Linked DNA regions of Elephas maximus indicus. Each later gene encodes a partner of the first gene's protein in a complex. Links are inferred from orthologs where the notes say so. Each region holds a gene or a part of one and is shown in the gene's direction. Other genes may lie near its edges. The genes, in order: SMARCA2, ARID1B, SMARCD3 and DPF1.

The links.
Region 2: SMARCA2 (region 1) and ARID1B share a complex: the UniProt entries of both Homo sapiens proteins name them as parts of the neuron-specific chromatin remodeling complex. The link is inferred for Elephas maximus indicus from reciprocal best matches to the Homo sapiens genes SMARCA2 and ARID1B.
Region 3: SMARCA2 (region 1) and SMARCD3 share a complex: the UniProt entries of both Homo sapiens proteins name them as parts of the BAF complex. The link is inferred for Elephas maximus indicus from reciprocal best matches to the Homo sapiens genes SMARCA2 and SMARCD3.
Region 4: SMARCA2 (region 1) and DPF1 share a complex: the UniProt entries of both Homo sapiens proteins name them as parts of the neuron-specific chromatin remodeling complex. The link is inferred for Elephas maximus indicus from reciprocal best matches to the Homo sapiens genes SMARCA2 and DPF1.

The regions. Positions count from the first base shown.
Region 1 is NC_064827.1:8,528,241-8,536,005, reverse strand, and holds the start of SMARCA2 (probable global transcription activator SNF2L2), read left to right. Parts: upstream 1-4,670; 5' UTR 4,671-4,882; coding exon 4,883-5,051; exon of another isoform or gene 5,052-5,069; intron 5,070-5,104; exon of another isoform or gene 5,105-5,390; intron 5,391-7,765. UniProt on the Homo sapiens protein: ATPase involved in transcriptional activation and repression of select genes by chromatin remodeling (alteration of DNA-nucleosome topology).
Region 2 is NC_064819.1:228,892,179-228,899,723, forward strand, and holds the start of ARID1B (AT-rich interactive domain-containing protein 1B), read left to right. Parts: upstream 1-4,512; 5' UTR 4,513-4,538; coding exon 4,539-6,209; intron 6,210-7,545. UniProt on the Homo sapiens protein: Involved in transcriptional activation and repression of select genes by chromatin remodeling (alteration of DNA-nucleosome topology).
Region 3 is NC_064838.1:11,925,049-11,932,453, forward strand, and holds the start of SMARCD3 (SWI/SNF-related matrix-associated actin-dependent regulator of chromatin subfamily D member 3), read left to right. Parts: upstream 1-4,329; 5' UTR 4,330-4,785; coding exon 4,786-4,863; intron 4,864-7,405. UniProt on the Homo sapiens protein: Involved in transcriptional activation and repression of select genes by chromatin remodeling (alteration of DNA-nucleosome topology).
Region 4 is NC_064829.1:113,379,455-113,386,986, forward strand, and holds the start of DPF1 (zinc finger protein neuro-d4), read left to right. Parts: upstream 1-4,235; coding exon 4,236-4,267; intron 4,268-7,532. UniProt on the Homo sapiens protein: May have an important role in developing neurons by participating in regulation of cell survival, possibly as a neurospecific transcription factor. Belongs to the neuron-specific chromatin remodeling complex (nBAF complex).

The DNA.
Region 1 (7,765 bases):
TTCCATCTTCTTTTGGTGCTTCCTGTGTCGTTTAATATTTTCCCTGTAGAATCCTTCAGTATTGCAATTTGAGGCTTGAATTTTTTCTTCAGTTCTTTCGGCTTGAGAAATACTGAATATGTTCTTCCCTTTTGGCTTTCCACCTCCAGGTCTCTGCACATTTCATTATAATACTTTGTCTTCTTGAGCAGCCCTTTGAAATCTGTTCAGCTCTTTTACTTCATCATTTCTTCCTTTCACTTTTGCTACTCTGTTCCAAAACAAGTTTCAGAGTCTCTTCAGATACCCATTTTGATCTCTTCTTTCTTGCCTGTCTTTTTAATGATCTTTTGCTTTCTTCATAGATGAAGTCCTTGATGTTATGCCACACCTCGTCAGGTCTTTGGTCATTAGTATTCAATGCATCAAATCTCTCCTTGAGATGGTCTCTAAATTCAGATGGGAAATACTCAAGGTCCTACTTTGGCTTTCATGGACTTGTTTTCATTTTCTTCCTCTTCAACTGGAACTTGCATATGAGCAATTGATGTTTTGTTCCATGATTGGCCCAGACCTTGTTCTGACTGATGATATTGAGCTTCTCCACCTTCTCTTCCCACCGATATAGTCGATTTGATTCCTGTGTATTCCATCGGGCAATGTTCATGTGTATAGACATCTTTTATGTTGTTGACAAAAGGTATTTCCAATGCGTAAGTCATTGGTCTTGCAAAATTCTGCTATGTGATCTCCCGCATGGTTACTATCATCAAAGCTATATTTCCCAACTACCGATCCTACTTCTTTGTTTCTACAGTTTACATTCCAATAATCAGTAATTACCAATGCATCTTGATTGCATGTTTGATCAATTTCAGACTACAGAGGTTGGTAAAAAAAACTTCAATTTCTTCATCTTCGGCATTAGTGGCTGGTGAGTACATTTGAACAATAGTCTTATCAACTGGTCTTCCTTGTGGGAGTAGGGATATTATCCTATCACTGACAGCACTGTATTTCAGGACAGATCTTGGTATGTTCTTTTTGACTCTGAAGGTGACAGCATTCTTCATCTCTATATTAGTTGTAATTTATTAGGCAGTCAGAAGTTGGTTAGTATTTTTACCACACTTTTACTACATTGCTAACTTTGCTTAAGATTTCTCATTGCATATTTCCCTGTTAATAGTTATACTGGATGTCCTCAGGCAGAAAAACCAGTTCTCACAGCATACCTTTCTCTTAGATGTGCTACCTTTTGTTGTCTTGAGGTTTGCTTTGGGAGAGAGAAAATTATGAACCTAAAGTTAAGAAGCACGTAACAAGGCCTAGGAAAACTCTAGAGTGGGTGACAGTTGACACTCCTCACCACCATAAAATGGTGCCCTTGCAGACTGGGCCTAAGCCAGTAGTGGCCCAGCTATGTAAACAATCCAGGCCACTTAATGACCACAGGGAGCATTTGGAGTTCTCACCATTGTCTCTTGTCTTTGACTTATCCAGTCCATAATTTTGAGCATCCTAGAACTGCATTTCAGTCCTGACTGCTCAAACACAGTCAATTTTGCAACAGTAAAATGGTTTTAAAATAGGGTTTTACTCCAGAGGGAAGAATCCTCACCCAAGAATCACAGTGCACTTTGTATGATGAATTTAAGCCATTATATTACAAAATAAGGGATAAATCATATTTTTCACAACACTACCACATAGGAACAGTTGTAATTTTGAGAGTCAAGCATCTACATTAACCAGAGTCTAAAATAATAGACCCTCGATTTAAAATGTCCTCACATTCTTTCACACTTCATAAAGCTAAAAGTGAAATGGTCTCAGCAAACATTGACTTGTTGGTCCCACCAAAGTCCTGCTTTTCAAGGCAAAATTGGAACAAGAGATCTCTAAATCGCAAAGGGCCAACAGCTTACTGTGTGTAGCTGTTATTAGTCTTAATCGTGAGGTGGGGAAGAAGACACAGCGGTTTGCAGAGAATAAGAGATTTATTTCCCTTCTTAAATCAAACGCAGGTTCCATTCTCCAACTGCTCCCTAGCCCACTCGGGGCAATCGGGGTTGTTTACCATATTTTCGTGTATATTTTAGGTGAAGATGACAGGCGAGGGAAGGTTAAAGGGCTGTGACGAGTCCGCGGAGTAAACAGAGGGGTTCCAAACCGAAACCAAACCCATTGCCATTGAATTGATTCTGACTCTTACGGGTTAAGGAGGGCTTATTTATTTATAAGGCGTTCAGCCTCTCAGCTGTTTCTCCCTCGCTGGCATTGGAAAGCTCGCAGTTCTTTGGAGAAGAGCAAATTTGGCAGGAATGTTCTTTGTGCCCGCCTCCCTGTTTACAGGGGGGAAAAAGGAGCTGATTTAAAATTACAGCGCGGGGGGGGGGGGGCGGTGGAGAGAAAAAGTTTCCCCCGGCACCACAATGCCCCTTTTCCCCCTTGGTCAACACTGGGCCACCAACAAGCTTTTGGTGCCACCCGGAGCCCTCCCCCTCGTCCCCTCCCTTTCTCTCTGCAGGCTGGCTCTGGCAGGCGGAGGCACAGTTAAATTCCAGCACCTTCTCCACATAGTCCAAACTACTACGCACTATTACTGAGCTGCCCTTCTTTTCGCGGCGCCTCCTTCTCTCCTCCAGCCTCCCCAGAGGAGCCCGCGGCGTCCCGGGGGGAAGCCCTCCGGGGAAAGGACCGCGGGAGCCCAACTCCAGCAGGCTGGGGGCCGAGTGCGTCCTGCGCAGTGGATGTGCCCCAGGCACACGCGCGGCACTGAGCCGGCGCCTTGCAGACACACACTGTTCCACGCATACGGCCGAGCTGTCTCGAGCCACATTCTTGCACACCGCCCCTCCTCCCCCCCCGCTCGCCCGGAGTCGCTGAGCTGCGCGAGTGACAGGCTCGCCCGGCCAACCCGCGCCCGGGCGCGCAGGGAGGAACGGCGCGCGGGGCCAACAGCGGCGCGTCTTCCGGCGCCCGCGGAGGCGGCGAGGGTGGGACGCGGGGCGGAGCTCGAGTTTAGGAAGAGGAGGGGACGGCTGTCATCAATGAAGTCATATTCATAATCGAGTCCTCGCTCGCTGTTTCTGTACTCTGGGTGACTCAGAGAGGGAAGGGATTCAGCCAGCACACTCCGCGCGAGCAAGGTAAATATAACTTACAACTCCTTTCTCCGCGGTCCCCTCCCTTCGGCCTCCCAGCTGCCGCAGCCGCCGCGGAAACCCGCGGCCGCCGCCTGCGCCGGGGATTATGCATTATGATCCTAATGATTATTTATTGTGCATGCACGGAGACCAAAACAAACAGGCGGGCCGAGCGCCACAACAACAACAAAAAAAGCCCGCCTCCTCCCCGCGGGCCTCAGGTGGAATGCGCTAACAACAGCTCCCAGCGGCCGTGGAAGAAACGGGAAAGTTTCCACCGAGCTTGGCCTTGCTAATAATAACAGGGATCGCTACGACTGAAAGGGGGCAAGGAGAGACAACAAGCACCAAACCACAGCCTTGACCCTCGGGAGGAGGTGGCGATGCGCTGCCAAGTCAAGGTTGCAACACACAGACGCACACACACACACACACACACTCGGCAAGGTTGCAATGCCCCCAACCCCTTAAAAACCTGGAGAGAAGGAGGGTGGCAGGAGGATACGGGAGGAGGATGCAAACGCGACCATCCATCCCGAGCAGTCCTCCCGGGAGGAGTTGGAAGGGGCGCTGGAGGGCGAGGAGCTCGCGGGCGGCGGGGCGCCAGCGATCGCGGCTGCCACCCGCTCCCGGGGACTTGTTTAAAGGGCTCGGGCTGCAGGGACGTGAGAGAGCGGATAGCGGCGGGAGAGCCGGAGCTGGCGCGCCTGGGAGGCGACAGGCACTGCCGCCGGGCCGGTGCGTGCCGGATCGGAAGTGTCACCTCCACTTTCCTAGTTCCCTCGGGCGGGGATGGGGGCGCTGACTGGCGGGCAGGCCTGTGGGCACGGGGGCTAGCGGGGAGCTGCCTCCCGGGCGCTGCGGCAGTCCCTGCGCCCGGTTCCTGGGGACGGCGCGGGCTTGGGTGTTGAAGTTCAAGGTGTCCGGCTCGGGCCGCAACCTGGGAGGGAGGGAGGGAGGGAGAAGCCGGGAGAGGGAGGTCGGAGGTGCTCTCCGGGCTTGGTTTCATTGCCCTCCCCCTCCCTGGGTCTGTTTTCTTGTGCTTCAAGTCAGCCCCTTGCCAGCGCCGCGGGGAGCGCGGGCGTGGGGCGCCCGCGATCGTCCAGGTGCTGGGGGCACGCGGGGCCCGGGAGAGCCACAGCGGCTGCTGGCCGAGAGGCCATGATCCGGATAATCCTCTCTGCCTGACTGTCACAAACAGGACCCGCGCGCACCCGGGCAGCGGCGGTGGCGTTCGCCGGGTAAGGGGAAGGGCTGCGAGGGGAAGGATGGGGGGGTTGGCGAGGGCGGGAGGCGGGGAGACCGGGTGGGTGCCTCCTCCCAACGATGACACGCACCCCTTCCTCCTCGCTCCCTGCTTTCGAGTTTGCTTTATTCTCATCCCAACCGAGTATGCCCCTTCATCGGCTCTCCCTCGCCACCTGGCTGCCTGCCCTCCTCTCGTTGGCCTTGCAAAACACGGCCATGCCATCTGCAAAGGTGTCGCGATGCACTTCCCCAAAAAACCTGGCAGGCACGCCCGCCCCTTGGGGACCTCCGGCCGCAGGGCTCCCGCCAAGCCGGGTGCCCGGGGTGGACTGCACCGGGCCACGCAGCCCGGACGCGGTTGCCTGCGCGGGGCGGGCGCAGCAGTGCGGGCTCCGAGGACCCCTGAGCCCTGGCCCGGGCACTCGGGGCCGGTTTCCGGTGCGCGCGGGGAAATCGCCTACTGCCAGTGTCTGCGCGCTCGCCCCCGCCGCCTGGCTCGCCTTCTGATGGTGATCCGGTGGCCTTGCGCGGCGGCTGGTGGTGAGCACCCGGCTAGCCGGGCTGCCGGGGTGGGGCGGGGCGCCGGGAACTTGGCGGTGGATCAGGCTGGAAAAAAAAGTTTGGCAGGGCGGCCAAGTGCGGCGCAGGGCGGAGGGGCCGCGAGCCCCGCGGCCGGTGGGTACGCGCGAGAGTGTAAGTGTGTGCAGGGCTCGGGGAGCCGGCGCGGGCGGCAGCTCCGAGCCGGGGAGGCCCGAGAGGCGGGCGGGGGCCGGCGTGTGCGCGTGGCTGCGAGTGTGAGTGTGTGCGCGCGCGGGCGGCGAGAATCAGGAAGTCACCGCGGCGAAGCGCACAGACATGTTTGATCGCGGTGACATGACGCGCGCCCGGGAGGAAGCGGCGGGGGCCGGGCCCCGGGCGCGGGCCTAGCGCTCGCCACCGACCCCCGCGCCGGCCACCTAGGCGTCGCCCCCGCCGGCCCAGAGCCCCGCGCCGCTTTTTGTTCCGTGCCGCTAGGTAAGGAGCTTGAGCCGCCGCCGCCCGCTACGCGCGGAGCTCTCCGTCGCTTTCACTGCCGGCCCCCTCAGCTCTCCGGGCTGGCTCGCCTTTCCTGCAGAGTCAGGCCGGCGGGGTACACGGGCTGTCGGGGCTGCGATCGATGGCGTGGAAAACTTTCCAGCGGGAGGCTCCGGGGAGGGAGAAGCAGGCCTCGCCGACCACTGTCAGTCCCTCTTCCTTCAGTCTGGGGAGGAGTTCGAGTCGCTGCTCCCTGGGGCTGTTGCATGTTAAAACTTCGGGCCTAAATGCGCCTCAAACTCTCGCAGGATTTACTCCAGCCTTCAAATCAATGCTCAGAGCCGTCAAGTTGGCCTTGCCAGGCGTTTGGGGATTTTTTTTTTTTTTTTCCGGGAAGGAGGGAGGCGAGGGAGTGGGGGTGTTGTGCAGAATCCATTCCATCGTTAATGTCTGCACCGTGTGTTATGTAATTTTAGTAGCACATGGGTGCGGAGCCCACGCTGGGCTGCTCTTCTCCTTTGTTTATATAACTTTTGGGAGAGTTTTGCCAGGTTGTCGCCTTTTTCCCCCCTTCCCTAGCCTGGTGGAGGTTGGGGTTTTTGCAATAGCAAGCAGCCCGGGTTAGTGCTTCATGGAACGATGTCATTGCCCTCTGGTCATTATGGAGACACGTATTTCTGACTACTTACTGGAGGTGTAACGTCAGATCCAACGTGAAGAAATGAAAGATACACGTTTGCTGGTTTATTGCAGTGACTGGTTATTTTTAACATCTGTGTGCTACCAATTGCTGGGCTAAATTTTCAACTTCCATTTCAAAGCAGTTTTTTCTTACACCTGATTGTGTGCCTTGCTTGTATAAACAAAACGGATGTTGCTCGCCGGTTGAGTAGAAGAAAATTCTTGGCCAACTACCTAAGACTCAGAAAGGACTACCAAAATAGAGGCCATCTCCAATGTTATGTGTGCAAACATATTTATATACATATTCACATGTTTGCAGAAATATTTTCCATCAGTTGTTTTGCGGGGAGGGTATTGTAGGCTTGTTGGCCAACACTGGACTCCTAAGGCTTCCAGGCTAGGTCTTGCACTCTAGTGAAATGTTCAGAGGTGTGGCTGGTTGGAATCCCAGTTGGTGCACTGTTATGCAAATTGACACACACATTTTTTAGGAATCTAATTGCCTTTTTTGGAAACCCTGGTGGCATAATGGTTAAGTGCTATGGCTGCTAACCAAAGGGTCAGCAGTTCAAGTCTGCCAGGCACTCCTTGGAAATTCTATGGGGCAGTTCTAGTCTGTCCTATAGGGTCGCTATGAGTTGGAATTGACTCGATGGCACTGGGTTTGGTTTGGTTTTGGTTTAATTGCCTTTTTATTCTCCTGGACTTTTTTTTTTAGCTCCCCTATAATCTCTTAGATTCAAAAGATATTTATTGAAGTAGACTGAGAAATGCCCTGTGCATTAGAGATCTGTCTGCTTTGTTGGAGGCATGAAGGAGAGATGCCATATTACTAAAGACCATTTTAAAATGAACCAGGAGTTTGGGGTATGAGAACCCTGGAAGAACTGGCCCAGGAGAGGGAGAGCTTTCCTCCATGTGGCTGCCCCTCTCAGCAGCTGCGTCCAGCATCCGGACTGGCTGCACTGTGGTGTCTCAGAAAATATTCACCGCAACACTACGTTCAAAGCAGCCTTAGATCTTTTCTTTTGTTCATTTTTAAAGTGGTTTTTGAGCATTTCTTGTCAAGTTTCTTGAAAAGTGCTTTGACCAACACCCGAGGCCTGGCATTGCCAAAAAAATAAAAAATAAAAAGTGCCTCAGCTGGCATTATATTGTGAATGCTTGAATTCTGCTTAAAATATTATAACTAGAAAGTACTGCTGTGGCAGATAATGATTGTAGATGTTTTTTCTTTGATTAAGATAAGTCATTCTGCCGGTCAATATAAAAAAGGATGTCTCGTTTTTTTCCCCAGGAGAGTATCGTGATACCCCTCAGATTACTGGGATGTTTGGGCATTTCATTTTAAAGGCTTGTTATGGTGTTGTAACAAAACCATAAAAGAGAAGCGTTTCATAAATTATAAAAGTGGCGCTGTCCTCTGGTGTTTGCTGGTTTCTTTCTTTTTTTTCCTTTACAAGTCTTCCTTTGTAAACAAGGCCTTTGTTTGTCAAACTCTCCTAGGTCAGCAGCTTTTGGATACTCCAGAGAAATTTAAATCACTATTTATGACATCTTGACACATTGCCACGAGAAGGACTAAATTCTCACCAATATAACGCTGACGAGCATTTCTCAGCACCGGCAAATTGAGGGGGACCCAGAGGGCCTGATTTACTACCGGAAGTTTTGATTCCCGTTGTTCCAGG
Region 2 (7,545 bases), on another chromosome or scaffold:
CCTGTGAGTCGGAATTGACTTGAGGGCACATAACGTTAAATTTGATTTAAGGTTTTGGAAGTCTACATCCAACACTTGGTAATACTCTGAATATACTTGGAATTGGCCCAATTGCTGGTGCTGACTAGCCTCATCAGGATCCAGTGGTGGGTTCCTGGCATCAAGTCTGGGATGTGCCAGATGCAGTCAGATTAGGCTGATGGCAGTCAACAGCAAGGCTCAGTTACAGGGATTGCTGACCTATGGGGAAGTCTGAGCTTGCTCTAAATTGGCCAAATCCTCCATGAGGTTCAAGGGCAGCCCTTAGTATATTTTAGTGCAATTGTTAATTGTTTGTCTCCTTTATTAGACTCTGACGCCCTTCAAGACAGGAACCAGGTAATGTTTATCTTTTTATTTTCAGGGCATGACAAAGCAGATTCTAAAGAAATTTGTTGAATGAGTAAGTGCTAGTTTATCCCCATCCAAGTTTACCGTCCTCATTATCATATTCTTAGTAAATATAATGATGCAACTGGTTTTCCTGGTTCCCAAATTTGTTAAAATTATTTTTTGCCTAGACTTTTCTCAAATGCTACAATTGCTTTGCATACTGAATTTATGGGCCCCTGTTAATTTGCATCGTTGTTCCAAATCAAAGGCTATATCCCATATCTTGCAATTACTCAGTGTTATTCACTGCTAATGTCTAAATCGGGGAAGTGAAAGGGACAATTGTTTAGTACTTTTTTAAGTCCGTGACCAAGATCAGTAGGGAAATCCCATCAGCTCCATTCATTGCATGTCTCATAAATCTAAAAGGGAAGCAAGTATCCAAAGCCTTATTCTTTAATAGTTCTTATTTGTAAATCTTGACAGGGCTTTATTCTAAATTGCTTCCAAATTATGCAAAGAATACTGAGAAATATGATGGGTAGTGAGTCGTGATAGTTTCAGTCACCGAAGAAATAAGTCGAACAGTAAAAGGGGGCTAATCTGAAAGCAAACAGCGTAGGATGGGCAACGAAGAGGTAAAAAGAATGGAATTGTGGAATTCTTAAACTACCATCTGGCTCAATCCTCTTTAAGTGGCCACGCTGAAGTGTCTTTTATTCATTGCCCCAAAACTTATTCACAAGGAGCAGTTATTTGAATATTAATATTTCCATATAATAAAAAACCCTTTTTGTAACCAAGAAGGAATGTTTAGCAAAATAATGGGTAATCCTCAGGCTAAACACGAAGGCGTGGGGAGCAATCTGTGGTTGGGAGGTTGCTGGAGGCGAGGCCTGGCCACTCGGCAGCTTTTGGGCCTGTACCACCGCGGGTCTTTGTGGTTAGAGTAACTTATTAAAGTTGTCATTATGGTTTGAAATTTAGGCAAGAGGTGTAAAAATAAGAAATTCACTGGGAAAAATGAACTCAGTGATTGCTAGTACCTTATTTCTTCCCAAAGAAACCCAAACAAACCAAAACCAAAGCCATTGCCTTCGAGTCAGTTCCGACTCCTAACGACAATATAGGACTGAGTAGAACTGCCCCATAGGGTTTCCAAGGCTGTAAATCTTTACAGAAGCGGAACGCCACATCTTTCTCCCAAGGGACAGCTGGTGGGTTCCAGCTGCCGACCTTTCGGTTAATAGCTGAGCACTTAACCACTGCACCACCAGGGCTCCTTCCAAAAGAAACAATAATGTAGAGTTGTCATATAGGATAATTGAGGCAAGTGACACAATACGAATGCTCATCACTAGCTGAAAGTGTGCTTTTGTGAGATCTGAAAGTATTTCATTACTTGATAGCAGACCCCTGACAAGCGCTGTTTTGTTTCTTAAGCCCTGTTTTTATTTTTATTAATGAAACTGTAAGAGGCTTTTATTTTGTCTTCCTGGAAAGGTGTTTGAAAAGTGTCAGTTGAGTAAAATATAAGGCCACTACTTATCTTCAGCAAAGATGCTAAAAAAGAGGTATTGGAACATTTTTCTGTGGTTTCAAAGACAAAACCCAGTCCTGCTGGCTTTGTGTTGTGCTTCTCTTCCAGGCTGCAGTGCCTTCTGTCTGCTTCAGGGCGTGGCATCTGCCACTGGGGAGGAAAAGCTGGCATGCGCTGCCTTTTATAGCAGACTGAGTTCATTGTGCTGAGGGCCTCTGTTTCAGAGCCTCTTGGTTCCAGTCTTCTAGTTGACTTGCTGGAGCAAATGGAATGAAAAGACACTTACCGACTTACATACCTAAATTTTTTTTCATTATTTTTGTACATAAAAAAATTTTTTCATGAAAAGGGTCAAAGCTGAACTTGTTGACTCATTTTCCCTTTTAAGATCAGTTGTGAAAACAAGCCACAAAATATGAATTGACTTTGATATATTTTATCAATTGGAAGAAATGCAATTTTATGATTATGTGTATATATTCAGTTTGATGATGAATGTCTAAAAGCATAAATATGTAACTGACTTTATAGGAATATACACACAAACACAAAACAGACATGCAGTTATATTTGCATATGAAAAACTTTCAAAATTCAACTTATGTGTATAATTAGTATGTATTTGAATGTATAAAAGGAGAAAATCCAGGAGAAAATGTCAAAAAGGCACACTAACAAAGATGTAGTAGTCTCCTGGCAAAACTGATGAATGGTTTGGCATGAATTCATCTTACAGTTCTGTTATCCTCTCTTACACATGATGATGTGACCCTGGTTTTCCAGCTGTTTGCGGAGAATTGCAATTTGTCGTTTCCATGCTGGATAATGACCCTTGGGTGTGCACCTGATCTCCCCCTCCCACCCACAATTAGCCCCCAGTTTTTTCCAGTCTATCCCTTTTTTTTAGGCATGTAACATATTTACTTACACTTGGTGAGGCAAACAAAAATAACCAGGGCAGTTGAAACAAACTAACCTACTTCTGACAAAAGTTGGAGAATGAAATGATTTCGCAAAACTACATTCTACCAAAATCATACAGATTATTTCAGCCAGCTTGACCTCTTGAAAGCTCTGGTTTCAAATGCTTTCTCTTGATGAAAACAGAGTGCACACCAGTAAAAGGTAACCACTGCTTGGGTTAAGAGGTCCTGCTGTCAAAGATATCTAAACTAGTACAGTGATAAATCGGCAAAACATTTAAAACATTGTGAAGTGATAATAGATATTTTTTAAAGAACAAAATATGAAAGGTTTCTACTTTAGGATTTGATGGGACCATTTTATATTACTGATCTTATATTTATATTTATTAAAGACAATGTCTAGTATTTATTTTCGTTTTGTTTCCCATTACTCAACAATGAGCTCCTATCAGGAAGGTTGTTTACATTAACCTGTGAAACATGACGAAAGGTGCCACACGGATTTATGAAGACATGAGCTAAACATTAGCTGTTACTACGACGGCACTAGGAGTTAAGCTTTCGTCGGAAAGTTGTTTGGAGCATAACATACCACTCGACGTCTTTGAGGCTTTTTCCCTTTAAACAGAGGACATACACTTGTGGAGCAATTTTCATTGATAAGCCTAGAGGCAAATGCGAGGTGCCTTGAAAACTAGTTATATCAACAGTATCTTTGGGGCAGGTACAGCACAAGGAAAGCATTTATTGAGTACCTGCTGTGTACAGGGCACAGCGCTCCTGGAATTCACCGGAAACGTTTCCTCATTTTGCCGTTTGAAAAAGTTGTGGGAACTACGTGGAGGGACCAAAATCAAATCAGAGGGGCTAAGATTCTGAAAAATGACACAACTACTGGAAGACACAGTGCTTTTGCACAGATTACCCAAATATTTTTCTTTTTTCCGTCGGTTCTTCATAACCTTTGAGTTCGACAGACAACTTTGTTCCCGAGCCCTTTTCTCTCTTTTGTCTGCTCGTCAGACTCGTTTTCCACCTTTGTACCGTGCCTTCTCGATGGGAAAACAAACCGGCGAACGCCCGGTTGGCAAGGAGACCGAGGCCCGGGGAGCGTGCAGCCGCCCTCGGCCCGGCCGGCCAGCCCGGTGCCCGGCGACGTGCGCCCGGCGGGCGGCTGGTGGCGGCGGCGGCGCTGGCTGAGTCCAGTCCGCGTTTTGCGAGTGCGCGGAGTAATCAGAAGTGGATAATAGTTGCTCGGGCTCGCGCGGCTCCCTCGCGTGCCATGCTGGGCCCGATAGGCTCCGGCAGCCGTGTGTGTACCCATATCCGGGTTAGGGAGGAAAGGAGAAAAGTTTCATTTAAACCTGAACTCAAAACTTTCACCATGAGAGCCCACAGCAGGAACAGGCCCAGACCGTGAGGCTCGACCCGCTGCTCGTAAGGCGCCCGGCCGGGGGGGCTCGCCGGAGTCGGCGCGGGCGTGGGATGCGCGCAGGAGGGGCCGCGGCCTGAAGTCGGGTCCCCCCGCCCCGCCGCCAGCCTCGCGCGCCTCGCCGGCGATCATGGCCGCGCGGGCGGCGGCGGCGGCTCGGGCGCGGGCGGGCAGCAGCGAGCGGCGGGCGCCCCCCGGGCCGCGGCCGGCGGCGCTCGGGGCCCGGGACCCGGAGGCGGGCGCGCGCGGCGCGGCGGCGCCCGGGCCCATGCTGGGGGGCGGCGACGGCGGCGGCCTGAATAATGTGCACCACCACCCCCTGCACCCCCATAATGAACTGAACATGGCCCACAGCGCGAGCGCCGCCGCCGCCGCCGGCAGTAACGCCAAGAGCGGCGGCTCCGAGGCGGCTCTCAAGGAGAGTGCAAGCGCCGCCGCGCTGTCCTCCTCCTCCTCGGCGGCGGCGGCGGCGGCGGCGTCCTCCTCTTCCTCCGCCTCGGTCCCGGGCTCGGCCATGGAGACGGGGCTGCTCCCCAACCACAAACTGAAAGCCGTTGGCGAGGCCCCCGCTGCACCGCCCCACCAGCAGCACCACCACCATCACCATGCCCACCACCACCACCACCACCATGCCCACCACCTCCACCACCACCACGCACTCCAGCAGCAGCTAAACCAGTTCCAGCAGCAGCAGCAGCAGCAGCAGCAACATCCCATTTCCAACAACAACAGCCTCGGCGGCGGCGGCCACCACGGCGCGGGCGGCGGCGGCGCGGCTCAGCCGGGTCCCGACATGGAGCAGCCGCAACATGGAGGCGGCGGCGGCGGCAAGGACAGTGTCGTGGGCAGCCAGGCCGAAGCCCCGGGCCAGCCTCTGCTGAGCAAGCCGGGCGACGAGGACGACGCACCGCCCAAGATGGGGGAGCCGGCGGGCGGCCGCTACGAGCACCCGGGCCTGGGCGCCCTGGGCGCGCAGCCGCCGCCGCCGAGCGCCGTGTCCGGGGGCGCCGTGCCCGGGGGCGCCGTGTCCGGCGGCGCCGTGCCCGGGGGCGCCGGCGGCGGCGGCCCGGCGGCCGTCCCGGAGTTTAATAATTACTACGGCAGCGCTGCCCCTGCCAGCGGCGGCCCCGGCGGCCGCGCTGGGCCTTGCTTTGATCAACATGGCGGACAACAAAGCCCCGGGATGGGCATGATGCGCTCTGCCTCAGCCGCCGCCGGGGCCCCCAGCAGCATGGAGCCCCTGCAGAACTCGCACGAAGGGTACCCTAACAGCCAGTACAACCATTATCCGGGCTACAGCCGGCCCAGCGCGGGAGGCGGCGGCGGCGGCGGCGGAGGAGGAGGAGGCAGCGGAGGAGGAGGAGGAGGAGGAGGAGGAGCGGGAGCGGGAGCTGTGGCGGCGGCGGCCGCGGCGGCGGCGGCAGCAGCAGCAGGAGGCGGCGGCAGCGGCGGCGGCTATGGGGGCTCGGCCGCGGGGTACGGGGCGCTGAGCTCCCCCCGGCAGCAGGGCGGCGGCATGATGATGGGCCCCGGGGGCGGCGGGGCCGCGAGCCTCAGCAAGGCGGCCGCCGGCGCGGCGGCGGGGGGCTTCCAGCGCTTCGCCGGGCAGAACCAGCACCCGTCGGGGGCCACCCCGACCCTTAACCAGCTGCTCACCTCGCCCAGCCCCATGATGAGGAGCTACGGCGGCAGCTACCCCGACTACAGCAGCCCCAGCGCGCCGCCGCCGCCGCCGCCGCCGTCGCAGCCCCAGTCCCAGGCGGCGGCGGCGGCGGGGGCGGCGGCGGCGGGAGGCCAGCAGGCGGCCGCGGGCATGGGCTTGGGCAAGGACCTGGGCGCCCAGTACGCCGCCGCCAGCCCGGCCTGGGCGGCCGCGCAACAAAGGAGCCACCCGGCGATGAGCCCCGGCCACCCCGGACAGCCCATGGGCCGACCCCAGGTAACGCGCCGGCCGGGCCTGCTTCCGCCCGGCGGCCTCGCGCGCTCGCGGCCCTAGTTTCTTTCTTTCGGGTTTACTTTTTTTCCGTCTCCTCTCGGGGGGAGGTGGGGGCGAGATTCCGGAGCCATTTCGCTCGCGGCCGCCTCGCCCGGGAGGCCGGGGCGCGCACAATGTCCGCCTCGCGGTCCGGCGCTCGGCGGGGACGCGCGGGCGGGCCGGCGGCACCATGGAGGCGGCGCACCCCGCCCCAGCCCCCAGGCCTGCGCTCGGCCGCGGGGAGGCAGTTGGGGCGGCGGGGCCGGCTCGGGCGCTTTGGTGGGGCAGCCTTCCCCTCGCCAGTGGGTCCGAGGGGAACGGGGACCGGATTCCCTGGTTAGCGCTAGCGCTGCGCTTTAACTAGAAGGACGGAGAACTTTCTCCACCTCCAACCACGTCGCGTGGAACGGCAGGGGAGGTGAGCTAGCTTCCTGACCAGCCGAGTGTGCGGCTCCTGGTTGTGGAGAACCGCCTGTAACTAGAGCACTCGCGGATGTTCGGTGCGGCCTGCCGGCCTGAACGTTGAGGAGCGAAAATAATACCGAAACGTGCAACTGCGTGGAGGCAAAATACTCTAAAATATATCGATTCCTTCCTAAGGACAGCCAGTGAGATCCATCTTTCGGCTCAGGGGCAGCCCGAAAGGAGTCACCTTCACAGAGGCTGTGTTCAAGGACCACATTCCGAATAAATCGAACTTGTTTTGGTCGAGGATCCTGCAAACCTTTTATTAGGCAAATCCAGTAACATGCCAGACCCGTGGCAGTGAGCTATTTGGGTCGTATTTATTTGGATTTTCTGTGTTCCGCTGTCACCCCAGCCCCACGACGTTATTGGGAAGTGTCCTGCACTCTGGCTGTTTCTTGCTGGTAGGCTGAGCCTAAAGACTGACTCGATCTCCTTTGCGAGGTTTGGAATTTGAATTGTGGAGGTAAACTGGCTGTAAGAGTCTCCAGACAGCTGCCTCGGAGTTGACATCTAATCCGCCATCTGATTGGCTCCCCTCTCACCATTGGGCATTTAGCGCTGCTGATGTAAATAGACGTGCTCGGCAGTACAGTCACAAAAATCCTTGCCACAAATAATAACCCAGCTCTATTGCAAGCAGATGTAAGGTTGAATATGATTTAAAGCTTCATTTATTATGAGTCGGAGTTATTAATAAGAAGATTAAGTATATAAAAACATTATGCTGGTGTCTAGCGTTGAGCATTTGCAAAATTAAGTTCTTTGATGACAACCTTTCAGTATGAACATTGCATAGATCACGGACTTTAATTGTAGGGTGAGGATATGTTAA
Region 3 (7,405 bases), on another chromosome or scaffold:
GTCACAGGAGGCACTCAGCCCCAAAGCCCCAACTCTCCCCTCCTGGTGTTTGCAGTTCTTGTGGGGCAAGCTGGGGGATCATGGAGCATCCCATTTGCCTGAGAAGAGAGAAGGGAGGACTTATTCACTCAACTAGCCTTTACTCTAGAGCCTGCTCTAGAGCCCTGGGACCCCAAGGTAAACTCTCATCCAGGCCCGCAAGGACCGGAGAGATATTTGTAAGGGCCCTACAAAGGTATGTGTGATAAGGAACAAAGCAGCCACAGAGGGATGCATGGGGGAGAAGGCTGGGAAGAGGCGTCCCTGAGGCCTTCACAGAGAGGGTGGTGCTGATAGCAAGAGCAGAACCACTGCCTGCTCTGTGCCTGTCCCTCTGTCCGTGGGTGTCTTTGTACCTGTTTCTTTGTGTCTCTCTGGTGTCTGGCTTTCCTTCTCTCCCCCTCCCCTCCATCTGACTTGGTTCCTGTCTCTGTCTGATGGAATAATTGGATTTCAGAGTAGAAAGGGCCCTCAGAATCCTCTGACCCTGAGAAAGTTGAGGGACAGGGAGATACAGCGACTCACCCAAGGCCACACAGCTATCCTGGTGTCCTCCCTTTTCTTTGTTGCTGCATGTGTTTGCAAAACTGACACAGAAAGGCAAAGTCACACCGAGACAGACAGCCCTAATAGCAGCAGCAGGAGTCCCAGCCCAGAACGTTCTCACATGGAAGGGCTCTGGGAGAGCAGGGGAGTAGCCAGAGGGGAGGCATATGACCTGATGCCCCTTTATTCATCTCTGGGGGCTGGGCAGGGCTCCAAGGTCTAGCCAGGGTGCCTTGGGCCTAGGGCCTGGGACTTAGACCAGGCAGGTCACTGGCATGTACCGGGGTTTAGAGACTGGAGGGGAAACTGGGGGCCAGGGCCTAGAGGTTCTCAACACAGAAATGGAAAGGGTCTGTTAGCCCCAGAGCTTGAAGAGTCTCTCTTTCTTTCTCTCTCTTTCACACACACACCCCCCCCAACACCCCAACTCACAAGCATGCACGCCAGGATCTGTGAGGGTAATTCCATTCCGTGGGCATGCTATTTTGCTGGGGTCTAGGGTCGCTAGAGTCGGAATCCACTCGATGGCACTGGGTTTGGTTTTTTGGTTTTAGGGGAAGGGACGGTAGTGACAGGTCTCTCCGAAGCAGTCCTTTCCCCTTCAGTCTCCATTTCCTTTGTTCCTTCTTCCCCTCCTCTCCTTCCAGCCTGCCTTCTCCCCTTCCAGCCGGCCCCTTGCGCCCTCCTCCCGCCCTTCCCCTTGCCCTGGCCTGCGTCCCCGCATCGGGACTTCCACAGAAGCTGGGGACGGGGGGACCGGCCCGCCAAGGCCTTGGTGGCCGTCTTCCGAAGGGAAGGAGTTAAGTGCCCGCATCCCTCCCCCTCCGCCCGTGCCGCCGCGGAGTCCTGCCGCTAGGCCCCGGGCTGACCTTCACCGCGAGGCCGGCGCGCATGCCCGGCCGGCGCCGCTGCCCGCCCGGGGTCCGCGCCCGGGCGGAGGAGCCCGCGCCCTGCCCGCCGCGGCGGCGGCGGCGGTGGCGGCGGCGGCGGCGGGGGCGCGCCATCCCGTCCCGGCAGGCCACGGCCGCATCTCCTGCGTGGAGAGAGGCGCGTTGCCATTTGGTGCCGGCGGTGCTCAGCGAGGGAAGGGGAGATGGGGGGACGGCAGGGGGGACTCCGGCTCCGGCCGGCGCGACGTCGGCCGGCCGAGCCAGGCGCCTCTGCCGGACACCCGGCACCCTGCCGCCCAGAGTGCTGCCATTTAGACTGGGGGACGGGCCGCCCGTGGGATCTGGGCTTTCCTGGTCAGCCGAAGCCTGCAGCAGGCTACGCTGGAGCGTCCTTCTGGGCCAGGCTCTTGGGGAGCTGGCCCCTGCTCTCTCCGCCTCAGCTTTTTGGTCTGAAGGCTGCCCGTGTCCGCACAACCATGGTCGCCCAAGTAAAAGCAGCATGCACACAAGTCTGCTGGCGCGTGCTTCGTGAATTCGGGCCTCTGTGAGTGTGAGGTGGAAGTGGTCAGGGTGTGCCCATGTGTGTAAACCCCTGTGCTCCTTCCTGTCCGCCTGCATCTGCATTACTGTGTGTGTGCATGGGAAGCGGAGAGGGGCAGGCATTGTGTATCTGTGCGCGAATAAGGACGTTTCCCAGCGGAGCAAAACCAGTAGAGGCTGCAGGAGAAGGCCTGATCCTGACACTGGGAGGGGGGGCTTGTACCTGTGAACTTGAGTGACACTCCCCAGCATCTCCCCACTGTCATCACAGCCCTTGGTTCAACCACCTCCCACAACCCCCTCCACCGCCAAGATCAGTTAATTACCGCCCATCCTCAAGACTTGATCTCGGAGTCTCCCAACCCCATCACAAACGTGGGGTGCTCCCACCCTCCTCATGCTTCTCCCTCAGCTCCCAACTGCCCAAGCTGGAGTGTCTGTCCCACCTCTTGTGCTGACTTCTTCCTCTCTAAAGAGGAGCTGAGAGCTCTGAGCTTTGCGCAAAGCCTAGACGTGTCTACCCTCCCATTCCACCAAACCTCCAAGGCCAGTTGATTTAGCATGTTCATGCTAGAAGCACCCACAGGGGCTGGCGGTGGCCAATGTGAACTCCATCCACTGGTCCACAGAGTTTTGAGTGCTCGCAAATGTCATCAGGCAGCATTTGTATTATCGAGTCCCTGTGCCCAGGCATGGGGGTAAGAGTGGGACTTACAGACCAGTCCGACTTCAGGGAGCGGCAGCCTATTCAGTAACACCAAACCTAACACACATGAAGTACAGGGCACATCATTCGTCACCCCAGTGCCAATGCACGGGGCAGTGTGGATGGACAACAGGCCTTCAGAGAAAAGAGAGATCCATGTGAACAAGCGGGATCTGGGAAGGCTTCCTGGAGGAGCTATGGCCTGAGCCAGCTTTAAAGGATGGGTGTGATGTGGACCAAGGGGAGGTGGAGGGCATTCCAGGCAAAAGCATGGGAGAGCAGAGGCTTAGAAAGGGAATCAGGGTGGACATTTGGAGAGTAGTGGGTAGACCGGAGCTTTGGCAGTGTGCCCCCCAGGTTACCAGCAGCCACTTCCATGGCCTGTGGCCAATGGAGGCCCCCCACCAGGGCCCATTCTCTCTGTATGTGGGTCTGGAGGAGATTTGGTAAGAAGGGGGTCTCTAGGTCCCCTGCCAAGCCAGGGGTAGAGGAGGGGCACCCTGGATCCGGATACCCTCTCTGGCCCTCTGGGGCATTGGTGGGGGCTCATAGATGGACAGAGGCAGCAGGGAGCAAAGCCAGGGTCCAGGGTAAGTCAGGCTTCAGGCAGCAAAGACCTGGGCAGCACACTGCCCTGTTCTCTTTGTTCCGTGTGTGGAAGGTATGGTGGAGGGTTGAGGGTCAGGAGCCCCTTTGGTGTAGTAACAGGTCTTCAGAGGAGAACTGCTAAGCAGTTTTCCAACAAACTCCCCCAGGCACTGCCCCGCCCTCACCTGGATCTGGACGGCACAGCCCCACGAAGCTGTCAGGTTGATCCAAAGCTTGCCTCAAAACCCCACGGAGAGGATGAGAGAGAGGTGTGGCCTTTGGGAGCATGGGCGGGGCCGGGCTCCAGCCTGGGGAGCTACGGTTTGCCTCTCCTGTTTCCTGTCCCTTCTCCACCCCCACACCACCCCTTCTGGGGTTCCCTCATAGCCGCAGCCCCTGTTTTCTCGGGTCTTGAAGGTGGCCCCACCATCTCCAGCTGTCCCAGCTCCTCCAGGTCCACACCCATACCCCACAGCCAGGCCAGAGTGATGCTTGCCTCATTCTTTCCACCCACCCCGGCTCCCAGCCTTCCCTCGCATTTTCTCTTCCTGTTCTCATGAGCTCCATCCCTGTCCCTCTTTCCCAGATACTTCCCCTATTGCCCTCACTTTCTCACATAGCGACAAAGACTCACATACCCAGAAATAGACTCACACAGAGCTGAAAGGCAGGGCCGGTGTCATGCCACACACACACACACGCACACACACGCACACACTCACACACCAGAGGCTTTCATGGAGGGAGACACATAGAAAAGGCATTTGTCTGTACACACACCTAAATAGCCACAGCGCCTTGCCCACAGAGGGGATAAGCACACGCTGTGCGAGACAAGGGCACACACATCCGTGGACACGAGACCGCCGCCTTGGCAGGCACCGCACTGCCCCTCGCCCGATGCAGGAGGACAGGCCTCCTCCAGGCGCAGTCCCCCCCACCCATCCCCCCAGTCCTTGCCAGTGAATGTTCCCGCACTGGCCTGCCAGGTCTCTGGGGAAAGGGCTTCAGAAATGCAGAAGGAGCCACTGGGGGGAAAGTTGGAACGGGCTGTTCCCTGCCTGGCTCTGCCGGCGAAGTCCCTCCCTGAGAGGGCCACTTGCCGCGGAGAGAGCCCGCGGGGCCGCCCCGCCCGCCGCCTCGCAGACCGGCCGCAGTCGGCTCCGCGCCTCTCGCTTATCTGCGCGCTGTTTGCACGGCGAGGGCTGCAGGCCGGCTCTCGGGCGGCCGAGTAAACAGCGCGCGGGCGCCCGGACTATTTCTGTCTTATCGGCGCAGGAATGCGGCAGCGGCGGCGGCGCACGGGCGGCGTGGCCGTGGGCCGTCAGGGCAGCCCTGAAGGGGCCCTCCCCGCCCGGCTCGAGTAGAAGTGTGAGCGCCCAGCAGGACTCGGAGGGAGAGTTGGAGGAAAAAAGGCAGAAAGGGGAAAGAAAGAGGAAGAGAGAGTGAGTGAGCTCCGCCGCGGAGCCCACCCCGATGGCCGCGGACGAAGTTACCGGAGGGGCGCGCAAAGCCACGAAAAGCAAACTTTTTGAGTTTCTAGTCCATGGGGTGGTGAGTGGGGGAAAGTTAGCGGGGGAGGGTGCGTGAGCTGGCGCGGGCTGAATGGAGGGATGGCCGGGAGGGGCCAAGGCGGCCCGCGCTCTCGCCCCCAGCCCAATCCCGGCCTGTGCCCGCGCCCTGGCACGTGAACACGTCGGCAGGCAGGCGGCCGGCCGGCCGGCCAGCCGGGGATGGGCGCGCAGGCGGGAAAGGGAGAGGCGTTTGCCTGGGATCTTGTCAGGGGCTGGAGGTGGGACTTGGGGAGTGTCCCAAGTAGGGGGCCCCTTGAGTATCAGACACGGTGTCTTCCCTTCTTATCCGTGCGGACCCAGGTTTTTCCCCTGCCCTGGGGGCGGGGTGGGGGCTATGGCATTGACTGAGCTGGGCTGTCTATTCATCGTTGGGACAGTGTCTCTCACTGTATCTTGGGAACAAGGAGCAGGTGACCCTGGAGCACTGTGGCAAGAAACTGCTATGAATGCCCTCCGCATCCGCATCCTGGCAGAGGGTTATGGGGCTTTACTGGGGGTCTCTTTCATCAGGGTCAGCTAGAGGCCCTTTCTAGGGGCAGACCCCTATTAAGGGGCCTGAGGGACTCCTTGCAGAAGTGGATGTTTTCCAAGCCTCAAAGGTGTGAAGGAAGGCCTAAAGATCAGGGGGACGGAGCAGCAGGATGCTGTCACAGGGAGGCAGCCAAGGCATATAGGGAGCCCAGGGCAACCAGGAGGCTGAGCTGAGTCAGCAGGGGCCAGGCTGGGTGTGAAGAGGGCTGTGAGAATGGGAGGGGATGACTAGGGAGATGGTAGGGGCTCCAGCATGGGTGGCAGGGGGAGGGGTTGGAAGTTGGGTGTACAGGAAGCAGACAGGTTTACTATGGCTGAATTTGTCTGTGACCCCAAGGAAGGCATTTTGTCAGTGAAGGAGGCCAGAGTCCCTAGAATCTTGGCCTTTTGTGGAGGTGGCCTGCTGGCTGGAACCGTCTCTGGGGATTCTGGAAGCCTCGAAGCCTCCATCTCGGGCCTCATCAGCACATCACTGAGTACCTGGCCTTGATGAATGGGGAGAACAACTGATAGAGAGGAGGTGCTTCCCTGGGGCAGTCTGTCCTCCAGCCCCGGGATCTCTGGGGGTAACTTCCTGAGAGAGGGTGTCAGCCAGCCAAGTTAACAGTACAAACCTTGCTGCTTGGGGGTGGGAGTCCCTTTAAAAAGGTCCCTCAAGGAGGGGAGAGGTAATATATGTGAATTTCTTATATGACCACCTTAAAGCTTCAGTTTTGGGGTGCCTCTGAGCCCCCACAGCCTACCCCAACTCCCAGGGACCAATCTATGCTGGGGAACTGGCCTGCTGCCACCCTGGAGGTGTGAGTGACAGGGTCAGGTGGGACAGGGGAGGCAGACACATGCACAGGCAGGTTTCACCATGGGAGAGATGGGCAGAGACAGCTGGCTGGCTGGGATGGGAGGTTAGGGCTAGGCTTGACGGGACAGGAGGGACAGCTGGCAGTTGAAGGGGGCACAAGCCCAGGGTCAGGGCGTCTCCTCGCGTTTAGTGGCAGCTGTAGTCCTCTGGGTGAAGCGGTAGTGCTCAAATGATGAGGACGGGGAGCCTCTGCATTCCTGCTTCCTGGTCCCCTTCCTTGCTCTCTTTACCCGTCCGCATTCCACCCACCCTTTACATTTTGGCCCCTGAAACTCCCTCTGGCCCTCCCTAGCCCCTCTTCTGGAATCTGGACAATTGGGGCTGACAAGCCCATGGAACACTGCACTTGATGCATTTGCATCTCATTTACATTCTATCTGACCACCCAGGGATTGCTGACCTCATCTCCTTCTCCATGTGCCCCCCACCCCACCCCCACTGTGCACCCTGACTTCTGACCTCACTGGGTAGGCTTGAAAGGTAGAGGAGGTCCATAAGGATGGGACCTTCCCTGTTGATCTCAGCGGACAGCAAGAGAGGGATGGATGTAAGACCTACCCCAGGCCCACTGGCAGCCCCTTCTCTAGTCCTCTGACCCCTCCCCTCCCAATCACAGCATCCTGGCAGGTCTGACCTGAGCCCAGGCTTCGCAGAGACAAGGTCAGCTCCTGCTCTGCCTTCAGTCTTCACCCTGGGAGCAAATTATGGGGGTGGGTTAAGTTAGTGAAGCTAACTGGTACCTGAGTATGGGGACTGGGAGTCAGTCCCAAGGGAGTGGGATTGAGCAGGGGCCGCAGAGAGATGGGGGGTCGAGATGAGGAGAGGTGAGTGCAAGGCCAAATAGCCAGCGAGTGAGGGTGGGGAGGAGTGCTAGGAAGGGGCGGCAGCAGTCAGAGCAGCCACAGCAACAGCAGAAGCCCCAGCCCCCTCAGAAAACAGGGGTCTGTTCGCCTCTACCGGGATGAGCTTCGTGACCTTGGCTAGGTCGCTTTTCTCCTTGAGCCCCAGTTGCCTCATCTGTCAAGTGGGGAAGAAAGCCCGTGCTCCGTCTGCCTCACAGAGGAGCCTGTGGATGTGAAAATATGCTTTAAAAAGGTTGAAAGGCGCCATTCATATTCATTTTTGTGGTCCC
Region 4 (7,532 bases), on another chromosome or scaffold:
AGCAGAGGGTCTCCCAGTGATTCTGGGTCCACAGGGAGGTTAGACCGTGGTGACCAGGTTCCGGGCAGGGTCTGAGGCCCAATGTGGGGCTTAGTGTCTCCACCGGGGACCGACCCCAAGCCTGCCATGTCTCTCAGGCTCTCAGGATTCCAGTCTGAGAATTCTGGAGCAGCCTCTGGGGCACAAAGACTAGAGCCACAGTGCCCTCTGGTGGCCACATCCTTGGTCTCAGGGTTTGGGAGAAGGCCCAAAGACTGGGACTTCCAGGATCAGCGTTGGCCTCCAAGGCTGAGTAACAAGATTAGGGATCAGGACCCGAAGAGGTCGGGACAGGAACCCTGCCCTGTGAGGTCAGAGATTTAGAATGCTAAAGGATTCACAAACAGTTCAGCCGTCCCCTCCTCTAGGAAGCCCTCCGTGACCCCCAGGTTAGGTCAGGTGCCTTCTCTGGACTCCCACATCCCCTTTTATTTCCCCCACGCCAGGCCTGATCCCTCTGCCTGTGCCTCCCTCATCCCAACCCTGACCCCTCTGGGCTGTTGTTGTCTGCTGATGGGTCTGTTGCCCCACTAGATTGTGACCTCAGGACAGAACCTGGGGTTGTCTCCATCAGGGGGTGTCCCTAGCATGATCACACAGGGCTGTGGTCCATAAACCAAAAAAAAAAAAAAAAACCAGCCAGTTGTCAGGTCTGTTCTGACCATGGCAACCCTAGAGCCCTGGTGGCACAGTGGTTAAGTGATATGGCTGCTAACCAAAAGGTCGGCAGTTCAAATCCACCAGTCCTCTAGGATCGCTATGGCTGTGGATCTGTGGTCCATAGCACTCCAGAAATTAGTGAGTGTGCTTAACCTTCCCCTTTGAGCTTCAGCTCCAGGCCCTCTGCTGGGCAGGATTCCTTGATAGAGTTCCCCTGCTTCCGTTGTCCAGGTCTCCATGCATGGGAGCGCACAGCCTGGGTCACCTTGCTCTCACCCCTCACCAGTTGCACGCCTCAGGGCTGGACACTGGGCATAATGAGTAATTGGTTTCATTTATTTATTCAACAAATACTAAAGAAAACAACAACAACAACCAGTTGCAGTCAAGTCGATTCTAACTCGTAGCAACCGCACTTGTGTCAGGGCAGAACTGTGCTCCACAGGGTTTTCAGCGACTGTGATCTTTCAGGAGTGGACGGCTGGGCCTTTCTTCTCAGTGCCTCTGGGTAGATTCGAACCATCAAACTTTTTTCTTCTTTTCTTTACTGTGTTTTAGATGAAGGTTTACAGAGCAAATTAGTTTCTCATTAAAGAGTTAATGGACGTATTATTTTGTGCATTGGTTGCCAGCCCCGAGATATGTCAACACTCTCTCCTTCTCGACTTTAGGTTCCCCATTTCCATTTGTCCAGCTTTCCCGTCCCCTCCTGCCTTCTCGTCCTTGCCCCTGGGCTGGTGTGCCCACTTAGTCTTGTGTACATGGTTGAGCTCTGTGTATTATCGTTTGTTTTATGGGCGTCTCTAATCTTTGGCTGAAGGGTGAACCTCAGGAGTGACTTCAGTGCTGAGTTAAAAGAGTGTCTGGGAGCCGTACTCTTGGGGTTTTTCCAGTCTCTTTCGGACCAGTAAGTCTGGCCTTTTTTTGTGAGTTAGAATTTTGGTCTACATTTTTCTCCGGCTCTGACCCTCTATTGTGATCCCTGTCAGAGCAGTTGGTGGTTTTAGCTGGGTACTCTCTGGTGCTGGACTCGGGCTGGTGGAGGCTGTGCTAGCTGTGGTCCATTAGTCCTTTGGAGTAATCTTTCCCTTGTGTCTTAGGTTTTTTTCATCCTCTCTTGCTCCAGACGGGGTGGGACAAGTTAGAACCACCAAACTTTGCAGTTAGTAGCCCAGTGCTTAACCGTTTGTACCACCGAGGGACCCCATTTAAAAAACAGCACCTACTATCCGTCAGGCCCTGTTCTAGTCAATGTGGAGACAGCAGTGGATGGGACAACATCCCCACCCTCACACAGCTGATATTCTAATAAATGAAGACAGACAATAAACCAAGTAACCAAATAGATACAGGACATGATGATGGGCTATGATAAGTGCTTGGAAGAAAAGTAAAGTAGCTAAAGGGGCAGAGCTGTAGGGGATGCAATGTTAGCTGGTGTAGCCTTTGAGGAGGTGATATTTAAGTAGAGACCTGAATGAAGTGAGTGATGGAGCTATGCAGGTACCTGGGGAAGGAGCTTTCTAGGCAATGCAAAGGCCTTGTGGCTGAAGCAGGCCTGGACTATTCCAGGAACAGGGAGGAGGCCAGTGTGGCCAGAGCAAAGTTAGTCAAGGGAAGAAGGAGGGAAATGAGGTCAGAAATGTGATGGAGGTTCGGGGGGATTGAGAAGGCCCTTGAGGGCACCGTGAGGACACTGCATTTTATTCTAATTGTGAAAGAGGCCGTTGGAGGTTTTGAGCTGGAGAGTGGCGTGCTGTGATGTGTGTTTTAGGTAGCCTGCTTTGGCTGCCATGGGAAGAACAGACCGGGAGCAGGGCCAGAAACCGACGATGGAGCCGCTGTGATAGTACAGGCGGAAGACAATGTGGAAAGGACCAGGATGGGGGTTAGGAAGTGGAGAGGGGTGGGTGGACTCTGGATCCATTTTATGAACATAGAGATGACAGGATTTGCTGATGGACTTCCAAAAGAGAAAAGTCCGGATGATGGATTGCACTTAGAGCAAAATCCATTCTCTGTATAATGGCCTACGAGGCCCTACATGATCTGGGTCCTTTCTCTCTCCCCAACCTTGTCTACCCCTTCGCTCACTCTGCTTCAGCCACACTAGCCTTGCTGATCTTAGAATGTGCCAACCTTGCTCCCACTTCAGGGTCTTTGCATTTGATGGTCCCCTGCGCCTGGGCATGTTGTGGTCCGTTAGTCCTCTGGGCTGATCTTTTCCTTGTGTCTTTGGCTTTCTTCATTCTCTCTTGCTCCAGATGGGGTAGGACCAGTTCGAACCACCAAACTGCAGTCAGTAGCCAAGTGCTCAACCGTTTGTGCCACCGAGGGACCCCATTTAAAAAAATAGCACCTACTATTTGTCAGGCCCTGCTCTAGGCACTGGGGAGGCAGTAGCAGATGGAATAACATAGAGGTGACATTCTAATGAAGAAAACCAACCAAAACAAACCCATTGGCGTCGAGTCAATTTCAACTCATAGCAACCCTACAGGAGAGAGAACTGCCCCTTAGGGTTTCCAAGGAGCACCTGGTGGATTTGAACTGCCGACTTTTTGGTTAGCAGCCATAGGTCTTAACCACTGTGCCAGTAGGGTTTCCTTCTAATGAACAGAGGCAGACAACAAACCAAGTAACCAAACAGATGTATGATATGATGACAGGCTATGATAAGTGCTTGGAAGAAAAGTAAAGTAGTTAAAAGGGACAGAGTTATAGGGGATGCTATTTTCAGCCGGGGGGGCTTGCACCTTCTCAGGTTTCAGCTCAAATGCCACCTCCTCACAGAGGCCACCTTCTGCTCAAATCAACCTGTTTTGTTTATAGCACTCTCTCTCTCTCAAATGATCTTATCTATTTCTTTTCTTGTTTATTATCTGTCTTTCTTCAGTAGAATGTCAGCTGCTTGAGGGCAGCGACTTTGTCCGCTTTGGTCACTGCTGTATCCCCAGCGCATACAAGAGTCTGACATCACTGAATGAACGAACGAAGACATCAACTAACCCCTGTGCTTGACGACAGCTGGCTTACACAGAAGAGGCACCTGGACCAGCAGATACAGACAAAAATACACGACAGACTCGGGTCACCCACAGACTTGGGGAGGCCCAGAAGTGGAGGACCACCTGCGCCAGCGCCCGAGATGCCTGGAGGATGGGGAGCGCGAGTCGGGGATGGAGCATCCCCAGGGAGGGGGACTGAGCCTCTGGGGGGCGAGCCCCGCCCCGCCCTGTATCCCCAGCAGCCAATGGGCGCGCAGTCCTCCCGGCGCCCCCTGGGACGTGTAGTCCGGGCACGGGCGCCCTCGGGCGCCGTTGCGCGCCCCTGGACTCCACGTCCCGTCGTGCGCCTGGAGGCGCGGGGATTGGCCGAGCCCCGCCCCCGTCCCGCCCCGCTCGGCTCGCGCCGCAGCCCCAAGAATGAATGAAATCGTAGCGCGCTGGGCGGCGGAGCCGGCGGCGCAGGCCGGGCTGGGCCCGCGCGCGGCGGGAGCGGCGCCCCGGGCCGGAGGCGGCCCCGCCGAGCGGGCCATGGCCACCGCCATTCAGAACCCGCTCAAGTCGTGAGTCCCCGCAGCCACCCCCGCCCCCGCCCGGAACCCTCCCAGGAGCTCTTCCCCCACCCTCGCTGGGGAGGGGTCGCAGCGCGCAGACCGCGGTTCGAGGCCCCCCCAGCACGTCCCCTGCCCCTGGGGGCCCGGCGCCCCCTGTCGCCCCCTGAGTTACGGGCGGGAGCCCCTTCGGGGCCGCGGGGGCGCCTCTTCTTTGTCGCTGTCAGTGAAGGAATGTGGCGCGGGCTGGGGGCGGGGGGCGGAGGCCGAGTTTCCCCACCCAGGGAGTTAGGGGCTTCCCCCTCCTCCACCATCTGTCTGGGGCCCCCCGGCTTGGGTCCCGACCTCGGTCTCCGGGGTCTCCACCGTTCTCTTTCCCCTCATCAAGGCGCCTTTCTCTCTTTCCTCCCTCCTTCTCCCGGGTCCCGGGCTCAAGCGGCTGCAGGGTGGGGGCTGAGGCTTCGGGGGTCCCCGGTTAGATCCCCGCTGCATCCCCCTTTTCCTCTCCGGGTCTTAGGCCTGGCCCAGGACCAAGAAGCCCCGACACTAAGGTCAGCTTAGACCGGAGGATCCCTTCCCCTCCTCGCCCATACACATCTAAAGGGAGCCTCCGGAGGGGGTGCTGGGAGCGCCCTCGCCCTCCGGGGATCCCTTCCCTTCCTCCCTGCCCGCGTCACTGCTTGCAGCGTTAGGTTTCTCCTGTGCCCAACGCCGTGGAGCCGGACGCCTGGGTCCGCGCCTAGCTCCCTCTCGTCCCTACCCCTCCTTGCCATTGCTCGCTCTCTCCGCCTCTCCTCTTCCCTCTTCGGGATCCCGGACTCCCGGGTCCCGGCATTCCCCCCTACCCGCGCCCCTTCCCCAGGCGGTGACAGCGGGCTCGGAGTGACAGGCGCGGCCGCTCCCGTCCTCCCTCTCTGGCAGGCGGGCGCAGCACTCCCCTCCCCCTCCTCGGCCTGGGAGGAGGCGGGGGGCGAGCTCCCGCGGCGCCGCACAAAGGGGCCGGGACGACCTCCCCCACCCTTCCCCCAACCCCGCGCTCGCCTCCTTGACCTTGAGCAATGAGTGCAGTGGGCGGGGGCGGGGCGGGGGGCGGGAGGAGAGGAGAGGGAGTGACCCCGAGAAGGGTGGCGCGTGGTGGCTGGATCAAAGGGCTCCCAGTCGCTTCTGGCAGGGGGAAGTTGGGAGTGGAGGGTGCGTAGGGGGTGGGAGCTTATAGGCACAAGCCGTCAAGTGTGGCTTGGTGAGGGCCAAGAGGGCTTGAAGGGGGTGTATGGGGCCGGGGTCAGTGTGCTATGGTGTGTGCTTCCTTTCCACCCACACCTGCACACACAGGCAGATGCCTCTCCTACGAGGGACACCCTTACACTAGTTGGGAACAGGGTTCCCGTGCCTGGTGGTGGATTACAGGCATCCTGGCTTCTGCGGGTGCCTGGTGGCCAGAGTGTGTGAGGCGGGCGTGCCAGCATCCCTCTCCGCTCTCCCCTTCCCAGGGGTCTGCACGGGTGAGGGTAGGGACTCTCTCCTGAAACAATATGAGAGTCAAATCTCCTTGGGAGCAGGGGGCTGGAGAGCGAAGCCCTCGGGAGTTCAAACCCCAGCTTGAGCCATTAATGCCCTCCCCGCCTCCAGCCTCAGTTTTACCATCCGTGAATTGGGGCGCATAATAGTTCTTTTGGAGCCCTGGTGGCGCAGTGGTTAAGTGTTTGGCTGCCGACCAAAAGTTGGCAGTTTGAATTCACCAGCCACTCCTTGGAAAACCTGTGGGACAGTTCTACTCTGACCTATAGAGTCATTATGAGTTGGAATCCACTCAAAGGCAACCGGTTTTTTCTTTTTGGTTTTATAGTTCTTTTTAACTCATGGGGCTGCTGTGAGGCTTAAATAAGGTGGTATTTATGAGCACTCAGTATAGCACCTGACCCCAGCTAAGTGTATGATTATTAGGGGTGATATCAATACTGGTTTCTATTGCGTCCAGCTCCCATACAGGACACAGAGGGTTGGGGAGGGGAGGACTGTTTTTGGACAGGGGAGGGACTGTGGTGTTCAAGTGTGTAGGAGAGCACGTGGGAGGGGTCTTTGGAGGTGACTTAGGGTATGGAAGGGGAGACGTCTTTCCAAGTGGCAGCCTGGCTCTGTAGGTTCAGATCCTGTTGGTGCACCTCTGGAGAGGTGATGGGTGTCTACGTGCGCAGGCTCCCCTGACTCAAACTGATGCAAGGTTTCTCATGTGAGGTGAGGGTGAGCTGGGTGTCTGAGATTGGAGGTGTGGGGGAGCCAGCGTGAGAGGGCATGCTGGTGATCTGTGCAGGGGGTGAGAGGTGAGAGAGGAAGGTGGTGGCAAGGGCTCCCTCTGAGGGGGCAGGGCTCACTGTGGAGAAGGTATCTGGGGTAGCCACTAGAGGGGCCTGGAGGCCTGAGTGAGTGTGGAGGTGGGGTGCCAGCATCTCTCACTTACTTCCCTTGTCACCTACTCTGGGTTAGGTGTGGAGCAGAGACCCCAATTGGGGTTATGTGGGAGGGAGGAGCAGTTTGTGGAAAGGATCTAAGAGGAGAGGTGCAGGGGTGTGTGTGGAGAAGTGATGGTGGGAGGGGGCATCAGGTTACAAAAGAGGCGAAGGCTAGAGTGCCTCCCCCTGTCTGCAGGAGTGCCCCCTGGGGGATGAGTGTGTTCGTGGGCATGTAGGACCACCACTTTTTCATCCCTGCAGCGGCTCCCTGGACACAAACTCTGAACCAGGCGGGCAGTGGGTGTGCGTTTGAGCGTGTGTGTGTGTGTGTGTGTGTGTAGAGGCTTGGCACGTGTGTGTGACCAGGTGGGTCAGTTCACTTTCTGGGAGTTCCTCAGGGTGGAATCTCTGTGAGTGACAGTGGGAGGCAGAAGGGTGTAAGGCCCACGTGAGGATGGGTGTCTGGATGAATGCACCGTTTTCTCAGTCCCACCTTCAAACAGCCACCAGGGACTGAGGGTTGTGTTATTACAGGTTTGTAACTTCTCTCATTTGGAAGATGGGGACATTAATAGTATGGCCCCAGAAGGTTGTTATGAGGTCAAATGAGTTAACCTCTGTAAAACACTTAGGACTGTGTCTAGTGTTACAGTCGCTGCTCAGGAAATGTGTTCTTTCAACAAATATTTACTGAGCATCTACTCTGCCTGGCAGTATTCTTTCTAATAATGATTAGTTTTTGCCAGTTTATATCTTAGCACATATCAGATCCTCCGTGAAATGGGTGCATTTATCGAGCACTTACTACATGCCTAACCAAAAAACCA